Linked DNA regions of Macaca mulatta. The protein of the gene in region 2 interacts with the protein of the main gene of each other region in a pairwise test. Links are inferred from orthologs where the notes say so. Each region holds a gene or a part of one and is shown on either strand. Other genes may lie near its edges.

What was found. The genes of interacting proteins can lie anywhere in the genome.
Region 1: the proteins of ZNF446 (region 2) and ZNF496 interact in binary tests that used the Homo sapiens proteins (3 or more experiments, as listed by UniProt). The two-hybrid records come from large-scale screens. The link is inferred for Macaca mulatta from reciprocal best matches to the Homo sapiens genes ZNF446 and ZNF496.
Region 3: the proteins of ZNF446 (region 2) and PGBD1 interact in binary tests that used the Homo sapiens proteins (3 or more experiments, as listed by UniProt). The two-hybrid records come from large-scale screens. The link is inferred for Macaca mulatta from reciprocal best matches to the Homo sapiens genes ZNF446 and PGBD1.

The regions. Positions count from the first base shown.
Region 1 is NC_133406.1:1,707,508-1,711,498, reverse strand, and holds the start of ZNF496 (zinc finger protein 496), read right to left. Parts: upstream 2,801-3,991; 5' UTR 2,723-2,800; intron 2,581-2,722; 5' UTR 2,365-2,580; intron 1,004-2,364; 5' UTR 890-1,003; intron 541-889; 5' UTR 504-540; coding exon 114-503; intron 1-113. UniProt on the Homo sapiens protein: DNA-binding transcription factor that can both act as an activator and a repressor.
Region 2 is NC_133424.1:70,612,843-70,616,004, reverse strand, and holds the end of ZNF446 (zinc finger protein 446), read right to left. Parts: intron 2,058-3,162; coding exon 1,973-2,057; intron 1,782-1,972; coding exon 1,692-1,781; intron 1,565-1,691; coding exon 1,014-1,564; 3' UTR 501-1,013; downstream 1-500. UniProt on the Homo sapiens protein: May be involved in transcriptional regulation.
Region 3 is NC_133409.1:155,062,731-155,066,676, reverse strand, and holds the start of PGBD1 (piggyBac transposable element-derived protein 1), read left to right. Parts: upstream 1-1,146; 5' UTR 1,147-1,753; intron 1,754-1,808; exon of another isoform or gene 1,809-3,611; 5' UTR 3,612-3,650; coding exon 3,651-3,946.

The sequences.
Region 1 (3,991 bases), on a different chromosome or scaffold from region 2:
AAGTACACGGCTCTCAGTGGAATTCCTCATTCCCTGGCCAGTGCATACATGGCCCAGTCAAAGTGTCTAAGCACCAGATCTCTACCCGTCCCAGCCCCACCCCTTCTACTCACCCACTGCCAGGGTCTCCCAGGCTCCCGTTCCAGTGCCTCCACCGCGGCCACAGCCTGCTCTCCACTCTCAGGCTCCTGCGCCCGCACCCAGCTCTGGATCTCCCGGGGCAGGATGGCCAGGAACTGCTCTAGCACCAGCAGCTCCAGAATCTGCTCCTTGGTGTGCCTCTCAGGCCGCAGCCAGCCCCGGCACAGGTCCCAGAGGCGTTGCAGGGCCTCCCGGGGGCCCGCCGCCTCCTGGTAGCGGAAACGGCGGAAGAGGCGCCGAGAAGACTCGGGACTGGGAAGCTCCCCTTGGGGGCTAGGGTTCTCTCCAGGTGGGCTCCTCATTTTCCTGGGCTCCTCACTTTCCTTCGGAGCCAAGACTCGGGGGCACAGGGCTGTGGGCATGATGGGATTTGATGGGGGTCAGCAGCAGAAGACGACCCTATTTCCAAACAGAAATCACTGGCTTCAGTGTTCTGGTCTCCTGTGGTCATTTCTGGGGGACAGTGACAAGGAAACTGTCAATGCCCTCAGAGACCAGCCCTTTGGAGAAGCCCTGGGAAAGGTAGGGAGTGTCGGTGTGGCTGGTCTTTACACACAGAATGAAACAGACAGAAAGATACCCTCCCCCCATCAGTACCATTACGTGTGGATTCCCGTAAGCGGGTGACTGGATGAACAAGGCAGGAAATCTGGGAGAAAGTGGTGGCATTTCAACGTGACACTGGTGTTTTGAGCATCCCAGGAAACCAACAGCGCCACATGCAGATGTAATCAAGACTCTCTGGTACCTTAAGTGGCTGGGTCCTCCGGGAGACCCGAGATGGGCAGGCCAAGCAGGCCACTATATTGAAGCTCCGCAGCCGAAGTCACTGTTCTTGTTCTCAAGACCTTTACAAATAGAGCTGGAAAGACAAAGACAGACATGCATCGGATGAGCCTTCCAGCACATCCAGGAATGGAAAATCCATCCTGCTGGTGGCAGAGGGCTGATGGTGCTCAGTGCTGGATGGACAACCCAGCCAGAATCAGCTTTGCCCAACAGAGTCTGCAACGGGAGGCAGGGAAAATACCCAGACACAGGGAACATCACATGAGACAGCCACATGCAGTCCACGGGGGACAAATAACACTGCATTTAGAAATATCAGTGGTTTCCTATGAACCTTCTGCCAACACTTGCCTGACGTTCAACCTCGCCTCCACCCTCTTGTCTATCCTTGACCTCTTCAAACCACATTCAAGGCAACGGCACACCCGCGAAAGCCGTTCCTCGGCCAGGACAGGAGAGTGGGTCCGTCACGGCACAGCTCAGCCCTCAAAGAACCCCTGGACACTGCAGCTGCCACACCCTCAAGGTGGGCCTCAGGGGTCCCTCCACCTCCCCGCTGGTGTGCAGACAACTAGCCGACACATACAGGGTGGCAAAAGAGACCAGCAACCAGTATACCTGGCTGGTGTTCATGACTCGCACCCTAGAACACTGACCCGTGAAAGGGCACATGGGGACACTCACGGTGCCCTTCTCTGCCATCAGGCCTCTGTGATCCTTAGGACCGGCAGTGCCTGCCACTCCTCCATCTGCAGGAGGTTGTCCAGCGTGGCCGCGCCTTATCCTCCAACAGCTCACAAGGGGGACTCGGGCCTCACTCCCATTTCACAGGAAGACAAGTGATGCCAGAAAAGCTACGAAACAACTCAGTGGTTCCAGAAACACCCACTGCTCTGAATCTCCTTGCTTTCCAAAGTAACAACACATACAGAAACGCATATGGGGGCCGTGGAGGCGTCGGGCTGGACGCATTACAGGGCTCCCCACCACCGGATTCCCTTCCAAGGCGGCTCCGGCATCTGGAGCCCGGGGTGGGCCCCGCCCGCCCTGCTCGGCGGCCCCCTGCGGCGCCCATCACACACCTGCAGCGCCCAGGACTACTCAGGTCCGCCCCCCCGGAGCACCGGCGCCCACCCGGGCTGCCACTCGGATCGTCTCCAACCAGACGGCCGCGTCCGTCTTTGTCACGGCGGCACCTGGCGCGTCGGAGGCTCGGAGGAGACGCCTGATGAATGAACTAACGTGAGTGAGGCGGAGGAGGGCCCCGCAGGGGCGGAGCGAGCTCCCAGCCGTTCGCGGAGGAGGGACCGAGCCGGATCGGCAGAAGGGGAAGGAGAAGGTCGCTGCGGGCCAGGGAAGGGGGAGCGCGCCCTCCGCGCCCTCGGTCTCCCTCACACGCGCGTCTCCCGTCTCGCCGGCTCCGGGGCTCCTCACCTCACAGCCCGGAGCTCCCTCCCGGCGTCCGGCCGAAAGCCCTCCTGTGGCGGCGGAAGTCCAGGGCAGCCGTCCTCATCCTCCCGGCCCGCCCGGCCGGGCGTACTCGCTGAGGCGGCGTCTCCGCAGGCGCCCGGCTCCTTTCCCGGCCCGTCCAGACCGCGTCTCCCGACCATCCGGAACGCCACGGCTCGGCTCGGGGGCAAATGGAGGCGCCTGAAAAACAATGGTGTTGCTTTCTCCCCCGCCCGCACCTTCCTGAGCGCTGGGCTCTGGGCCGGGAGGCGGCGCCGCGGAGGCCGGGCGCGGGCCGAGGAGGGCGGGGCGGGGCCGGCCGCGGGAGCCGGGGTGCACTCACCGCCGCGACTCGTCCCTGTTGGCGGGCGGCGCAGGCCTGGCCACTGCCGGAGCCCGCCGGACGCCGAGGAAAGGAAAGGCCGGAGCCCTCCGGCTCCCTCCCCTGGGACACTTCCTGCTCCGCTCTAGGACCGGGGAGGTCTCCGCATCTCAGTGGTTCGCTCCCCCGCCCCCCGGCCGAGGTGTGCGCTGGGGGTGACATCCGACACCCCCGGCCCGCCCAGCTCCGCGCGCGCCTGGGCCTGGCCGCCGGGCCGGGGGCTTTGTGGGTCAGCCACGTCGCCGCGCCCGGTCCTCCCCGCGGGCCCGCCGGTCCGGAAAGTCAGCCCGGGGCTCTTTTCTCCGCTGTTCTCCTTCTCCGGCGCCCCCAGGACACGCGGGCCGGTGGACGCCCGGAACGGCCGACCGGGAGGCGCGGCTGGGATGGAAGCTGGAATTGGGGGTGCGGGATGGAGCGGAGGGAGGAGGCCCCGCGCGCCGTCGGCCGCCTCATTTCAGACGCCCCCTGCGAGCCCCAGCCAGCCGAATTCCGGGCCGCCCAGCCCCTCCCGTCGCTGCGGGACGCCAAAGGTAGCGCTCGCACCCGCGCCTTCCGGGCCTGGCGCCCACGTGCGGAGTCCCCGCGTTAGGAAAGGCCGCGCAGCCGGAGGCCACTCCGAGCCTCGGGACGACCCTGAGGGATGCGCAGGGGGTCTGCCGTGAGTCCTGGCCCTGAGTGGGGGTCACGGGGCTCGCAGAAGTGAACACGGTTACCGCTGTGCGCAGTGGCGGAGGGAGAGGATGAGGGACTCTGACCCAAGGTCATGTGGCAGTGAGGGGCAAGCAGGAATGAGGGCCTCCGGACCCCACCCTGAGACAGGGCTGCTGGCTGCTACACTGTGCTGAATATAGCCCAAATTCTGACATGGGTCGTCCCCGGGGAGTGGTCATTTTTCAGGCTCCAGAGCTTGAGAGAAAGTGTGAACCCGGTCCCTGGGCAGGCCTGATTCCCATGGCCCCTTCTCCATCTGCTCTGCACCGAAATTGGATTCTCCCACGCAGAAGGGGAGAAGGTTCTCCATCTTCCAGAGGGTAGCTACTGCCCGTTGCTCCGATTTCCTTAGGATCCCCTTTCAAGGGCAAGCAGAAGGAAATCGGTTTCCCCAGAGAAAGTGGCCCGGCTGAGTAAGTGGGGACAAGGTGGTTGGACTGAGGCACAGGATCCTTTAGCTCTGTTACTCTTCTAATCCCGTGGCCCTGGGCACCACCACTTCCTCCTCTGAACTGCTGG
Region 2 (3,162 bases):
GGGAGGCGAGTCCCCAGTGACTGCCCGGAGATCCGGTGCTTCCCGGGGAGGCGAGTCCCCAGTGACTGCCCGGAGATCCGGTGCTTCCCGGGGAGGCGAGTCCCCAGTGACTGCCCGGAGATCCGGTGCTTCCCAGGGAGCTGACCCTTTGCCCTCCTGCTGCACGACCAGCTAACTATGGAGGCTGCGACCTGACCTGGAAGTACCCATGGCCTTGGCAACACCTGCTTGCAGCCCCTCTTCTCAGAGGTCCCCCTTGTCCAGCCGTGCTTGGAAAGGAAATCCCCTTTGTGTCTACTCAAGCTGGGACTGATGAGTTCCAAGGCCAGTGAGGCTGGTGAGTGATGTGGACGGCTAAGGAGCAAGGGAGGCTGGGGACCTGGGTTCTGGGGCAACAGAGGTTTGGCCATTCCGGGACCAACTGCCCTGTGGCTCCAGCTACTGGGCAGAGACAGCAAACTGCCTATTTTCCAACCAGCAGAAGCCAGAAATCAGGATTCTTATTCAGAAACTCTGTATTATGGAAGTGGAATTTATGTTAAAATTCTCACACACACATGGAGGAGAAACGGAAGCCAATTGGGCTTTCCGGGGTCTTCTGCCCTCCACACTGAAACCTCAGGCCCAGCCTCTGCACAGAGGGGTGGGAAGGCACAGTTTGTGAACACCCACCTGAGGCAAGGAGGTCCCAGAGAGGGAGTGCTGTCATCCCAGGGCCATGTCGCGGGGAGGGAGGGAGCCTGGTGCTTGGCAGTCACCCCACAGGCACTGGTCACCCACAGAAAGGAACTCAGACCTCCCTCCAGGAGGTGGGGCAAGGAGGGAGGGAGCAGCTCCTTTTCCTTGCACCCAGGTCTTTTGGGGGAGACCAGACCAGGGGCAGGGAACTGGCTTAGGACCCCCTGTTCACTCCGGCATCCCCTTCTGCCTCCAGAGTCTTCTACTGGTGCCCCAGAGGCTGCATCCAGGCCGCGAGAACAGCGAGGCCCCGAGTGACTGCGCCACGTGGCTGCTCATGGAGCCTCCGGCCGGTGGCCCTTGCGGTGGATGACCAGCTGCGACTTCCAGTCGAAGGCGCGGCCACAGTCACTGCAGAAGTGGCGCCGCTGGCCCGTGTGGCCCTTGCGGTGGATGACCAGCTGCGACTTCCAGCTGAAGCTGCACCCGCACTCCTCACATGGGTAGCTCCGGGGGCCTGCGAGTGAATGTCGGGGGTGGCGCGGAAAGGCCAGCTCCCCTTGCGGTGGCTTCTCTGTGCCTTCCCCGGCGGCTAGCCCTGGGGACTGCGCACCTGGCCCACGCGTGTGTGTCCGGTGGTGGATGACGAACACTGACTTCCAGTCAAAGCCGCGGCCACACTGCTCGCACGTGTAGGGCTTCCTAGGGGTGGTACCCGGCTCCAGTCTCGTCTCTGTGGGTGTGGGCTGAGTGGGCACTGGTGGTGTCCCTGGGCGCGCAGTGGGGGCAGGAGTGGTGGCCTCAGGCAGGCCCTCCCAGGCTGCAGGCCCTGGGCCCTGGGGCGGCTGGGCCTCTGGGCAGCCGGGTGGACCCTCACTCTCATTTCCTGGGGGCAGGGGCAAACCAGGTGAGTTCCGGCACTCGGCACCCCCTCCCTCAGGCTTGTGGCTGTGGCACAAGCTCCCATCCCCCTAAGAGTGGGTGGCTCAGGCTGGATGGTGTGGGGCACTCACCTGAGCGCAGGCTTCTGCAGACGCCTGTCCCCATGAGCAGCATCCCCAGCTCTGACTGGGCCTGTGCCTCTGGCTGGTGGGGCGGTAACCCTGCCCGGGTGGGGGGCACAGTTAGGCGCAGGGTTTGCATGAAGGAGGGGTGGGGTGGGTTCTGGCAGGAGACAGGGTGTTCCTTTGGAAGGTGGGAGAGCTGGGTAGGGCTGGTAACAAAGAGTCCCTGCCCAGCTAGGGTGGGTGCAGGCCCCAGGGAGGGGGGCGGGGTGGGGCTGGCTGGTCCTCACCCAGGGAGACCACCGTGCCGTACTTCTCCAGCATCGTATCCCAGTACAGTTCCTTCTGTGACCGGTCCAGCAGCCCCCACTCCTCCTGCGGATGTGGCCCATCACTGTAGGTGTCCTTCTACTCCTCCCCTGCCCTATCTGGTTCACATTCTTTTTTTTTTTTTGAGACGGAGTCTCGCTCTGTCGCCCAGGCTGGAGTGCAGTGGCGCGATCTCGGCTCACTGCAAGCTCCGCCTCCCGGGTTCACGCCATTCTCCTGCCTCAGCCTCCCGAGTAGCTGGGACTACAGGCGCCCACAACCGCGCCCGGCTAATTTTTTTGTGTGTGTTTTTTAGTAGAGACGGGGTTTCACCGTGTTAGCCAGGATGGTCTCGATCTCCTGACCTTGTGATCCGCCCGCCTCGGCCTCCCAAAGTGCTGGGATTACAGGCGTGAGCCACCGCGCCCGGCCTAGTTCACATTCTTACTACCCGGGGGAGTCAGCAGGTTACCTATGCCTCATCTGCCCCTCCTGCTGAGAATGATCTCGAGGTGGGTGTTTGTTAAGTGCTAGGGTCCTCTTTCAGATCACCTGACCAGTGCGGCTGCCAGCTCTCATCCCCCTCCACTACCCCACCCTGCTGAGAGGGAGGGCCTGGCAGCATTACAGGGACCTGAGTGAGTTTATCAAGGAATGAACTCCCTGCTTGGGGGTCAGCTCTCCTTGCCTCCTGAGTCCCACCATCTGGGGCTTTGCTGGGTTGGGAAAATCATCCTGAGGGACAAGCTGTGGCAAGTCCAGGCGCAGGAAGGTGGCAGCTGTGAGGAGCCACAGCCAGAGATGGTGCTGGCTGGACGTGAGGACACTGTGGGAAGTGCAGCCTACCCACCCTGGCTCACTTTCTGATTGTGCCATGGGGCTGTGGAGGGAGCCTGGAAGGACTTCTCAGCCTTGAAACACATCTCAACCAGCAATGCTGCTGAAGCTCCCAGTGGAGCTGTTAGAAGCAGAGGAGTTGGGAGAGGAAAAGGCCTTGCTGCCCACACTTGGGAACGAAGTGATCCAGGTAGCAGGGGCCTCAAGCTGAGCTTCCAGGGCCAACAGGTGGCCTCTGAGGAAACCCCTGGGAGAGAAGGGACTTTGGGCATGTCCCAGGAAGAGTGTCTCCATCTGGTCTCAGGTGTGGGGGAGTCCTGCCACAGCTGGTCAT
Region 3 (3,946 bases), on a different chromosome or scaffold from region 2:
GACTCAATCTCAAAAAAAAGACTTTGTTTCATGTACAGAATTATTTAAACTGTATAAAATTAGCTCTATGTGAGTAAGGTATATATGAAACAAATGAATTTCATGTTTAGACTTGGGCCTCATCCCTAAGATATTTCATAATGTATGTATATATTCCAAAATCTGAAATTGGAAACACTTCTGGCCCCAAGCATTTCAGATAAGGGATACTCAACTTGTTGTTGAAATCGTACAATATGTAGCTTTTCAGATTGGATTCTTTCACTTTCTAGTATGCACTAAAATTTTCTCCATGTCTTTTCATGCCTCGATAGCTCATTTTTTTCATTTTTTTCTTGTTTTCTTTTTCTTTTTTCTTGTTTTCTTATAAACAGATGTTTATAGCAGCTTTATTCATAATTGCCAAAACTCAGTGGGTAAATGAATAAATAATGGGTCTGTTTTTAAAAGAGTGTTTTATATTTTTACTATTGAACATCTTTTCACATGTTAATTTGTCACTTACCTTGTTTTGTGTATAGTAACATTCATATCCTTTACTGATTTTTCTACTAAAGTCTCCTTTTACTCTTAAACAGAAGTGCCCTTAAAAATCAAATAGGGAACTTGCATATCAACATTTTAAATGCATATGTCCTTTGGCTGATCAGTTCTAATATGTGGCATTTATCCTAGAAATACATTCTTAAAAGAATGTAAAGGTATTGAATGATGTTCCCTCTAGCATGGCTTTTAAAGAAAAAATATAACCTAAGTATGCATCAATAGGATAGTTAAGTAAATTATGGAACACCCATACAATATTACTTAGCTGTTAAAGAATAAGCTGATCTGTGAAGATCTCCAAGCTGTCTTAACCGAAAAGAGCTAAGGTGCAAAATTACATTATGATACCATAAGTGTTTTTAAATGTATAAATGCTTATTCACTAAACAAAATGTTTATTACATGCTACTGTGTGACAGGTAGTGTCCTAGATAAATATGCACAAAATACAATGGTTAACTCTAAAGAGTGGGACATTTTTCGTTTTATGGTCCTTCTGCAACTTGACTTTTTTATTGTACGTATATTATGTATACTTAAAATAATTTGTACAGCTTACTATAATGGTCTTTTAATTGATCTGTTTCGCCTCCTAACCAGTGATGACCCCGAAGACAGACATTTACCACTCTGTTGGTTTTTTATTGAAATGATGTACATAAATGTGGGGCGTGCTTGCACCGTCCGGATGGGCCTGAGGTCCGGCAGCGGAGAGCGACCTGGGCGGGGCGGGAGGTGGCAGTGGGGGTCCTCCCGGATCACCAGAGAGACGAGCGGCCGTGCTCCTAGAGAGGCAAGGAACCCGCCAGACTCCGCCACTCGGCTGCGGGCGCGGCGAGTGGAGAAGCTTTTGTGCTGGCCCAGCTGCCGGAGGCGCCGGCGACACCCATCAGCCCCGCCAGCCCGCCAGTAGCACGGCTTGGGCTCTGGGGAAACCGGCGCTCTCGACTGGGCAGCCCCGGGCCTCTGCGCTCCCTCGGGAGCCTTTCACGAGGTCGGCTACGTCTTTGTTGTGCGCGTTCCTGAACTTTTGGTCCATTAACCAACAATTAGACACGCAGGTATTCAGTGCCTGGCGCGGTGCTAGATGCTGGGTGTAATCTCAGAAAAATACATTCTGGGGTGCGCCTGAGGGTGCTGGCTGCTGGCATCTCAGGTGCTTTACGTGCATTCGTGAAGAAGTCCATCAGTATTTGTTGAATACCAGGTACGTGCCGGGCTTGTAGAGTCTATGCAGAGATAAACTCCTGTCCTCAAGAACCCGGGTGGGGATGGGCTGGGTGATCTGTAATACGAGATGGAGGAGATGAAGGTTGGGAGCAGTTTTCCATGGGAACACCCATCTCTATCTGTGTGGCTTACTTTTCCTGTCTATATGTTAGGGTTAGGGGTGGCCAGGGAAGGTTTCACATAGAACATTTGCGCTGGCCCTTGGGATTTTACCCTTAGAAGGGGGGTCCTGACTGTATAGAGTGGGTGGAAAAAAAAATTGAGTACTTAGCATGGCAGTGAGATAAGGAATTTGGGAAGACCATGGCTTTCTTGAAAGTAGGAACTAAGTCTTTTATTCCAGAGTTAGCTTTATGCCTGGAAAACAATGAGATGCTCCACAAATGTTTATTGAGTGACAAACAAATCAGCAAAATCCAGTAAAGATTAGATCCTGGAGAGTTTGAGTTTACTTCAACGAGTTTAATGAAAACTTTGTATGTGTTTATGTGTGTGTAAGGTATGTTGAATATGGTCAGAATTGTGCTTTAGGGAATATTAATCCAGTGACCATAGAAGCGGGGAATTGGGCAGGAATACCATAACATTATTGTGACAGTGAATGAAAATGATAGTAAAATAATAAGGAAAGAATGGCTGCAAGAGGCATTTTTAAGAATTGACTTGATTCACTGATTGTATATAGAGGCTGTTTAAAAGACTGAATGCATGGAAGATGATGGTGATGCCAGTAGAAATGGAGAAATACGGAGTGAATGCAGCTTTGAGGAACTCTGATCTTAGTTTGAGATCTGTTGAAATTATAGTGCAGGAGAAGCCCACAGCTGCTGGCATTTCAAGATGTGGGTTTGGAGTGCAAAAAGCAAGCTGGAGCCAAAGATTTGAGTCTTCTTGGGAACAGAGATATATTGAAAGTGTGACTAAGGAGATCACAAAGGAAAAAATGAAGAGAGGGAAGAAAAGAACTTGATGCATTTCTACTGTTTCAGTTATGTGTTGTTGCATCAAAAATCAAACTCTAAACTTAGTGGCTGAAAACAAGCTCAGCTTATTGTTCCTCAGGATTCTGCAGGTTGACTGGGTAGTTCTACTGGTCTCACCTGGAGTTACTAATAGAGCTGCATTCCGCTGGTGAATTATTTGAGCACTAGGCCCGGCTGGGTTTTAGCTTGGTCATTTTGGTTCTCATCCACATGACCTCTGTCTAGCTAGCTTGGGCCTCTCACAGCATGGCAGTCTTATGGCAGTGAACCAAGAGCTACAGCAGCACTCTCTCTCTTACAATGTCATTTCTGCCGTATTCCATTGGTCAAAGCAAGTCATAGGCCAGAACAGATTCAAGGGAAGGAAAAATAGACTCCACCCCTTGATGAGAACAGTGGCAAAATCTCATCACAAAAGGTATTTGAGGATGGGAGACTTTGGAAACAGTCTATTACACCTACATTTAAAGCGGAATATTCAGTGAGAGTTACACAGATATAGATGACCTTTGAGACTGTATTATTTGCCCATGAAGGCAGCCATCTGCCTCCTCAATGGGTAAAATGATCCCTTCTCCCCAGCTAAAGTGCAAGCTTCTTGAGCATTCTTATTGCTAACGCTTCTTCCCTCATATCCTACATCCCTTACCTCTGGACTCAGACCCTTTAGTACTAGTTCAAAACATACTTCTGATTCATTTCACTGAGAAATAGAAGGAAGCAGGCTCAGCTTTTGAGCACTACCTACAGTGGGTACAAAAATATAAGTAGATTACATACAGTTTTGAAGGTCTTAGAATTTGTGTGTTGCTGATCAATTCTTATGCCTCAGATCTCTATTTCTGAACACAGACCCCCAAGCTAAGTGAAGCTTTAGCCTCTAAACTCAACATGTATGAAGCTTTGCCAGGCCCTGCTCCTGAAAATGAAGATGGCCTTGTGAAAGTGAAGGAGGAAGATCCCACCTGGGAGCAGGTGTGCAACTCACAGGAGAGCAGCTCCTACACTCAGGAGATTTACCGCCTGCGCTTTCGGCAGTTCTGCTACCAGGAGGCTCATGGACCCCGGGAAGCTCTGGCCCAACTCCGAGAACTTTGTCATCAATGGCTGAGACCCGAGATGCACACCAAGGAACAGATAATGGAACTGCTGGTGCTGGAGCAGTTCCTGACCATCCTGCCCAAGGA